Linked DNA regions of Ovis aries. The protein of the gene in region 1 purifies or fractionates together with the protein of each later gene. This does not show direct contact. Links are inferred from orthologs where the notes say so. Each region holds a gene or a part of one and is shown in the gene's direction. Other genes may lie near its edges.

The links.
Region 2: the proteins of FXR1 (region 1) and ORC2 purify together in Homo sapiens (affinity purification with mass spectrometry; 4 studies listed by BioGRID and IntAct, with this or other methods). This does not show direct contact. The link is inferred for Ovis aries from reciprocal best matches to the Homo sapiens genes FXR1 and ORC2.

Annotation. Positions count from the first base shown.
Region 1 is NC_056054.1:206,947,742-206,952,253, reverse strand, and holds the start of FXR1 (RNA-binding protein FXR1), read left to right. Parts: upstream 1-1,533; 5' UTR 1,534-1,544; coding exon 1,545-1,595; intron 1,596-4,512. UniProt on the Homo sapiens protein: mRNA-binding protein that acts as a regulator of mRNAs translation and/or stability, and which is required for various processes, such as neurogenesis, muscle development and spermatogenesis.
Region 2 is NC_056055.1:203,313,240-203,317,057, reverse strand, and holds part of ORC2 (origin recognition complex subunit 2), read left to right. Parts: coding exon 1-54; intron 55-2,189; coding exon 2,190-2,299; intron 2,300-3,818. UniProt on the Homo sapiens protein: Component of the origin recognition complex (ORC) that binds origins of replication. DNA-binding is ATP-dependent. The specific DNA sequences that define origins of replication have not been identified yet.

The DNA of each region.
Region 1 (4,512 bases):
TAGGGTTAAATGGGGAATGTCAACAGATACGAGGGTTTTGTGGGGGGATGGTGAAAATGTTCTAAAATTGATTGTGGAGATGATTACACAATTATGTAAATGTACTAAAGACCATTGAATTGTACACCTTAAATGGATGAATTGTACGGTAGGTGAATTACACTTCAATACAGCTGTGAGGGAAAAAGGAAATTAGGGTATTTTAATTCTGAAGGATCATTGCAAGATGATTATAGAAAGTGTCATACACACATGAAGCCCTTAATAAATGGTGGCTGTTACTCATTGATGTATTAGCGTGCTTGTGTTTTCCTCACAATGATGAACATTTTAAAAAGAACATTCCATCCATAGCAATATGGAGCCCTTAGTAATTCAGATGGAATTTTACGTACATTTTAAAGGACCCCCTTGCTCATAAAGGCCAGGGCTAGGCCCATGAGCATTTCCTTAAGAGCTAGTGTGCCAGCAAAGCATCCTTTTCTAGGGTTTTCCTGTCAAAACGGTAAAACAACACACAGAAAAGAATACTTCCAGTACTGTTTCCAAAGTCCTTGCTTTCGGAAAATGTTTCAGTATTGTTAAATATTCAAAGTATCTCCACTTTGAACACTTAATGGTATTGGTGTAGGTTCTGGTAGAAAAGCCATACAAATTGGTTCTGCTTTGATCCTGTGTGTGGAAGTTCCTACGCACTGCAGTAGGGGAAAAACGTGCTCTACAGCTTTATTGTTTTCATGATTACTTCTAACAATGGTATTACCTCCCGGGTTATGAATACATCTAACTTGAACTGGAAATACTTAGTTCAACTTTTTAAACAGTGGAATTGGTGATGGACAGAGAAGTCCGGCGTGCTGCAGTCCATGGGGTCGTAGAGTCGGACTGAACTGAACTGAAAGTGGTTAACAGGTGGGGAGAGGGCTGGACTGGGAGTCAGGAAGAAGCCACCAATATAACACTTTCTTTTTTTTTTCCTAAGAAAGCGAGGCTACAAAATTTACAGCACATAGTATGTACATTTTTAGCTTCCCTCTTTCCCCTAAAGTTTGTGCCAGTGTGCAACTGAAGCCACCAAAGTTGCTTTTCACCAGATAAGGAAGCTACTCCAGGGCTTCCAGCATCTCAAGGAAGTTTCAGGGCAAGGTGCCGAGCCTGCCGGAACGCAGATGCGTGGGGGAAGCTGTGCCGGGGCAATTCACTCCCGGGCAGCAGGAGGCCCCGACCGGCTGGGGCTGGCAAGCACCCGGCGCTTAGGGGCGGAGACGTAGGGCGGGTCACCAAAGGTCGGGCGATTGTGTCGGGAGGCGAACGGGGCGTTGGCGACGGCGGGCGGAGCTGGGGGGGAGTGATGTAAGGAGCGGAGGGATCCCACTGGAAGAGCCGGGGCGGAACCGTGAGACCCCAGGGGTGTGGGGCGGGGGATCCCAGTCCCGCCCTGTTTTCCCCGCCCCTCCCCCCGCCTCCTTCACGCCCCTCCCCCCTCCTCCCCTCTGGTTGGAAAGTTTCTAGAATCTCTTCCCAGCGGCCTTTGCGGTTCCAACATGGCGGAGCTGACGGTGGAGGTTCGCGGCTCCAACGGGGCTTTCTACAAGGTACCGACCCTTTTGCTGCTTTGTTGGCTCTTCTGGGGGCTCGGGCCGGTTTGGGGGAGGGTTGGTGGTTCAACATAGTGGCGTTTGGGGTCGAAAAAGGCAGCCAGGACAAAGCCTGAGGCCACTGGGTTCATCGCTTCTCCCCCCTCCACCCGCGGTTTAACGGTCTCGGGGGCCCGGGCTCCGTTATATTTTGAAACAACACGTCGGACAGTTCTTGCGTATTCCTACTTACGAACCTTTTTCTTGGATGCTAGTGTGGCCGTTCGCGGGCCGGTGAGGAGAAGCCGAGTGGCCGCAGGAAGCTTCCTGGGAGCAGGCCCGAGCGCCGAGAGGTGGGGGGAGTCGTGAAAAGGAGGTGGTGGGATTGTTTGGTCACAGCCACTCCCCCGCCCCTCGAACTGGGCCGAGCGAGAGCGCCTCGGCCCGCGGCTACGACCCCTCCCCACCCCCTTGAGGGGTGCCTTGCGGAATCTTAGGAATTCACCTTTGTACTAGGGTTTTGGGCTTATAAACTTCAGTGTCTGAAGAGAGCGAGTGCAGAATTGAAGATTAGGACCGAAGAGAAAACTAGAAAACCTTGAAATGTGGCGGGTAGAAATATTTTATTTTGTTTTTTGCCTGGGAAATTGGGCGGCGCCTTAGCCCCTCTATTACGGAAGAAAAGGCGAGAGAGTTCTAGGCTTTAAGATTTAAAATGTGAGATAGATTAAGAAGACACAGCTGGGGAGGTAACTAGTTTGTGTTTCAGTTATCCAGTGTTTTTGGAGGGTGTTGACCCCCCCCCCCCGCAACACACACACACACACGCGTATTTTGAAGGTGCATTATTGTGGGATCGAGTCTGGAAAACGGAAGAGGAATTCGAGAGTAGAGGAATTTATTAGGGGCTTCCAGTGTAGGGGTCACTTAATTGAAAATGAAATCCTTACAAGTTTAGTCTTGCCATTATAACAGTCCCTTTTCCCGATTCTCCCTTTCTCCCAAAGTAATGCCGCGATGTTACAAGATCAATACAAAAATCTCCCCAGCTGTTGTCTGTCAGTCAGTCTTACTAAGCCAGCATCTCAAATGTTTGAGAGTCCTGGCTATTTTTATGAAGGGCCTTCTCCTAATACAGGAGTAGTATTGTGAGTACGCAGAATGTATTCTGAGTTTAGTTTCAGCGTACCTCGTATCTCCCACGGAATTTTCTCTTACTTGGTGGTCGTAATTCCTATTTTTAGCGTTTTCCTTTTCTAGTTTACTAATTAGCTGTGTGAAATTGGTTTAGCTGTCACGTGGTTATAGCGTAGTAGAGAATCACTGTTGGCGTCTAAAGGATCTCGTTAAGCTTTTTACAAGTTTAAATCTCCTTAGGTGGTTAACGTAAAGTGAAAAGTGACTAGTGGAAAGGAGTCCTAATTAGTGAATAGTTCCATTATCAGTCTAGGTTAACAACTTTTTGTCATACAAAAGCCCTGAGTAAAATTTGAGTAGGTATATCATTAGCCTGTTCTAATGGTTGCCGTCTTTGAAAGACTGCAGATAACATTTGTGGCACTGCACAAAGAGTGGGCTTATCATACTTTACTGTCAAAGGTAGATAAGGTTCATCATTTTTGCTTTATTCTCACTATTCGGCTGTTGAATTCTTGTGTAGTGGAGATAACGCATTTTTTCCTGGCATATCGAAACACAGGAAAGATTGTTTTGCTTTAACAATTTTCAGCATGTCGATGATAGATGATACAACACCATTTCTTTTTATGCAAGTATATTTGATGTTCATCTGCTAAACGTTTACGTTTTTAAAAACATTTTAAAGGTTCAATAATATCGTCAGTTTGCAAGTTTTAGTAAAGATTGTTTACCATCTTACGTTGGTTTTGCATAGTTTGTTTTTTTTTTTTGCTTTTGTCCTTGTTTTGGAACTGTAGTTTATCGATGAGACTTATCCATACTCTACAAAATCTGCTTGATTCTTAGACTTTTTGAGTCCATTACACCTATTTTGTTTACAGAGTGTAGTAAGGTGGTTCTTTGGCAGAGGTTGGGAAGGACCCTAGCCACATTTGAATCTGCTGAGGTAGCACTTAAATGTTTTGAATTTTATGTCCTGCAATAATCGACTTGTACTTTGTGGAAGCTATGGTCCTCAGAACTCTGGAAGAGTAAAGATGATGAAGTGGAAGGAGCCCTACATTTGAAGTTAAACAAATAGGAATTCTGCGTCTCTACATACTTCAGCTTATTTAAGGTCATCTAGCAGTGCACTGTTGACCAAATATTCCTGGTCCTATATTGTTTTGCGTAAAATAAGATGTTTGAAGTAGTTCAGTAGTTTGTAATATTTTTATCCCATGAAACTGTCCACTTGGAAAAAACTGGCTTACTGCATAAGCACATTATTAATTGTAGATTCATGAATTTTTTTAGATTAATTTGCCTATAGTAAAATGCATCTTTTTAAAAACATCTTTGACGATTATGTAAGTTTTGATAAATGCTAACGGTTGTGTAATCACTACCAATAGGGTAAAGCGATAGAATAATTCCACATCCCCCAAATTTCTATCTTGTCCCCTTGTAGTCATCCTCTCTCCTCACCCCTGGAACCTAGTGTGGTTTCTGTCCCCATAGTTTTCCCTACATAGAATCATACAGAATACTATTTTGAGTTTGGGTTCTTTAATTTAACGTGGAAGTAATTTTAAGCAATTTTTTCAAATTTAAAAAGTAATACATGGTCAGTGAGGGATTTTAGAAACTATCAGAAAAAGCTAGAATAATAGTTAACATTTTGGTGTTTTTTTCTTTCAGCGGTGGTTTTCAATATACTGGTGGTTCTGATTTTCCTCTCATTTTTCCCCCTTTGCCCTGCCCTCCCACCACACACTTGACTGTGAATGTGAATTACCATTCAAGAGTTTCAGAG
Region 2 (3,818 bases), on another chromosome or scaffold:
GTTTTAACCTCTGATAGGACACTGCAGAAACTAAAGAGGGCTAAATTGGATCAGGTAAGTTGCAATGAAGGCTACTTCTAAATTTTTCTTACTGTGAGCTGAAAAATACGCTACATACGCAGCAAAATCTGAAGAGTACTATAATTATGTTTTTCTCTTATTTGTCATTTCTTCAGGACCTACAGTAATCATCAGGGTCATAGTTTCTTTTTTTATTTTATTGACATATGTATACTTGATTTACAATGTTGTATTAATTTCTACTGTGCAGCAAAGTGATTCAGTTATACATCTATATATATTTTCACATTCTTTTCAGTATGGTTTATCACGATACTGAATATAGTTCCCTGTGCAGGGTCATAGTTTCTTTGAAATCCATGTGCCATTAATCTCTATTGTTATTTTAACCCATATATTCATTGAACCTCACATTGGTTATAAAACACTGACTGACCTGATTCTGAGTTAAAAACCTTGCAAAACGTAGTGGGTATTCTGCTTTCTGATATTATGGAAAGCCTGTCCAGTACAGTAAGATAACAGGGTTACTATATACTGTGGTTCCAGTGTGTCATATAAAAAATACCATACAGTTAGACTCAGGGCTTTTATTCGTACCTCACTAAGACAAGACACAGAACCATCTGAATAAGAAAATGTTTGATAGAAAGTGGGCTTGATAATTTAAGTCAATAAGAGATTGTTATTGACTCAGAGAATCAAAATTTTATTATTTCCTGAAAGTAGAATTCAGTGCAATTTTCTAAGGTATACAGGACTTTTGACAGAGTTTTCAAGCTATAGAACAGAGAGAGGAGATTATTGGGTAGACCACTGACCTGAATGACATGGTGCTGTGTGGTTGGTTTTTTTGGGTGTTTTGTTTCTTTCTACCTGGCTCATTGGTATTGCAACTCAAATCAGAGACTAGCTGAAAACATGTGTCAAGAAACCACATTGTTCCAAGGAAGAGATGGCACTAACATCTTCTTAGTGCATCTGTTTTTATACAAGCAGCCTGGGGGTGGGGGAAAGTGGAGGGTCAGAGTAGGACTTCACAGGACCTAGAGACAAAGATCTCTCAGAGAATGCAAGAAACACCTGTTACTGATAATCAAAGAAAGGAAAGTCTTTCATAAATTGCAGACATAGCTGATGGATACAGTCTTGGTAGCACATGTCAGGATGCACTTATATCTCATGTCTTCCAATTAGCTGGGAGTTGGCCGATCTAGGATTTGCTCCACATATCTGTCTTCCTTGTTGGACCTCCTTGGAAGGCTACCAGAGGCATGTTCTTCTCATGACAATGTCAGAGACAGAAGTGAAAAAAGAAAGACCTCGTAAAACCTGGGCTCAAAACTGTCTCTGTCTCTTCTGCCTCATTCTGGTAGCCACGATAAATGACGTGGCTGAAAACAAAGTCAAAGAGCAGGGGACTAGACTCACTTGTTGAGTGGGAGGCATTGCAAAGTCACACAGTAAAGGGTATGGATAGGGGAGCGGCAAGTGCTGGGGCTAGTAATGTAATTTGGCACAGATGGAGAGAGAAATTTTTTAAAGCTACCTGCTTAACATTTCACTTAGAATTTGTCCTATTTCTCTTTAAGTATGTGAATAAATTAAAACTGTTGGCAAAAAATACAAACTATAGGCTAGAGTGTTTAGAATCTTGATTGCTGCACTAGTCTTCAGTATTAACAGAATATTTTACTTAAAGGATAGCATGATGAAAGCGCAGTAGTGCCAAGGTAAAAAGGGATATACAGCATTTTGCTAGTGTTTTCATTTCAAGAAGTGAGCTGTATTTAGTCACCAGAACGTCTGGATTTGTTGTCAAAACTGGGAGGCAGGTTTAATCATCTCATGATGGTAACAGTTGTTTTTAGAAATTAAAGCCTTACATTTGGAGTTCATTGTCATGTAAATGGTTCTAGACAAAACTTAGCAAATTCATTACTGTTTTTACATGCTTGTATGTAAGAGTATATAACATTTTACAAAAACAAATATTGAAATACTGTGTATATTCAGTAGATGCACTCATTACCAAACCTGATTAAAGTAATATTTCCACTAATAGCCTCTTCTAACCTTGACCTGTAAGGGAATATTTTTACTTTGAGTTGATTTGATGTATGTGACTTGAGAGTGATCTTCTTCTGCCCTCTTCCTTTTTTTTAAAGCAAACTTTGCACAACTTACTGAGCAAGGTTTCTCCTTCCTTTTCTGCTGAACTTAAACAACTAAATCAACAGCATGAGCAGTTATTTCATAAATGGATGTTGCAGTTACAGTAAGTACTATTATCATTACAAACCTCTGTAAAATAAATATATTTACATAATATATATATACGTAAGTCTGTTAAAATCAAAGCAGTTAGACATTAATTTTTTTTGCAGTGACCTTGATATGCATTTTTACTTATGTGTAAAAATTTGAAAAAATAGATGTTTTCCCAGTTTTATGACCCAAATGTAGAAATGTCATATTATTATATGACTCTTCTCAGAAATTCCAATTTACAGAAAATGTGTCTTTTCTAAGTTTAATCAAATTTGAAAGCTTTTATAAACTAAATAGCCTTTCTTAGAATTATGAACTATTACTTATAAAAATATTTGAAGATACAATTTGTCACAATTGATAAATATATCAGATTTTACTTCAGTTTTTCACAGCCAAGTTTCTAAAATGAAAGAACATGTATTTTTCTTTTAATCCCATTCTATTTACATGTACTATAAACCTTCAAATTTCATGAGGTCTGGTCTATAAATATTATTTTACCATTTTTAAATTGTTTTTTAGAATATTTTATCATTTCTCAAATACTTAAGGTAAAATTTTAAACTTTCATTAAAATACCTAGAATGGTAAAAATTAAAATATAGAAATTTTTTTCTATAATTGTTTTTATATTTGTATTTAAAAGAAACTTAGTATAAGGAAGTGTTTAAAACATATGCTAAAATGTGAGTGCAGTAAGAACAGAGAAATTGCCACAGTTTTCCCTAGTTGATCCTGGTTTTCTTTTGCCAATAATAAATCAAAGGATTATGCTAGTAAGAAAATTATCTTCTTCCCTGTTAGGACCTCATCTCCTCTGAGTAACTATTTGTGTATCTGTTCATTATAAGTTTATATGGCAGATCTTCACTCTAATCCTACCCCACAGCCCACCAGTTCTTTTCTTCCCATATGTCAACTTTGATAACGATTTGCTTTGCTTCCCAGCCTAGACCTCATAGTCAGCTACTTCAGTAGAATTGCTAGTTCTCTGAATTCCCTTGCTTTGTTTTTCCTGCTGCTTTTACCTTGCTAATCTCTGCCTTTGGGGATTTAGCTCTTCTTTTCTTCTATTTCTAGGCTATCCTGCATTGCTGCAGAGCATCTCATATATACTGTTTCTGATTGACCTCCATAAACAATCATGGAGTTGAACTTTAACTTGACCTTTCATGCTTGATGTTCTGGGTTGTCTCACCCACTCTCTTGGCTTCAGTTACTCTTTGTATGTGAATAACTCCCATAACTGTGTCTCTAGCCCAGCCAAAATTCACTTCAGCAGCAGACATGAATTATATTGAAAGTATCCACGTAGAAGTTCTATAACTAATTCATTATACATAAAATTTAACTTATCTTAAACCCATCATTTCCACCTGCCCCGACTACCTAGGGTAGTGAATATCACTTAATCATATAGTTGCCAATGCCAAAAAACTGAGTTATTCTTAATAGTCCTTTTCACTTATCTTCCATGTCTAATCATTCTCCAAATCCAACCGATTTGATCCATAAGCTCTTGA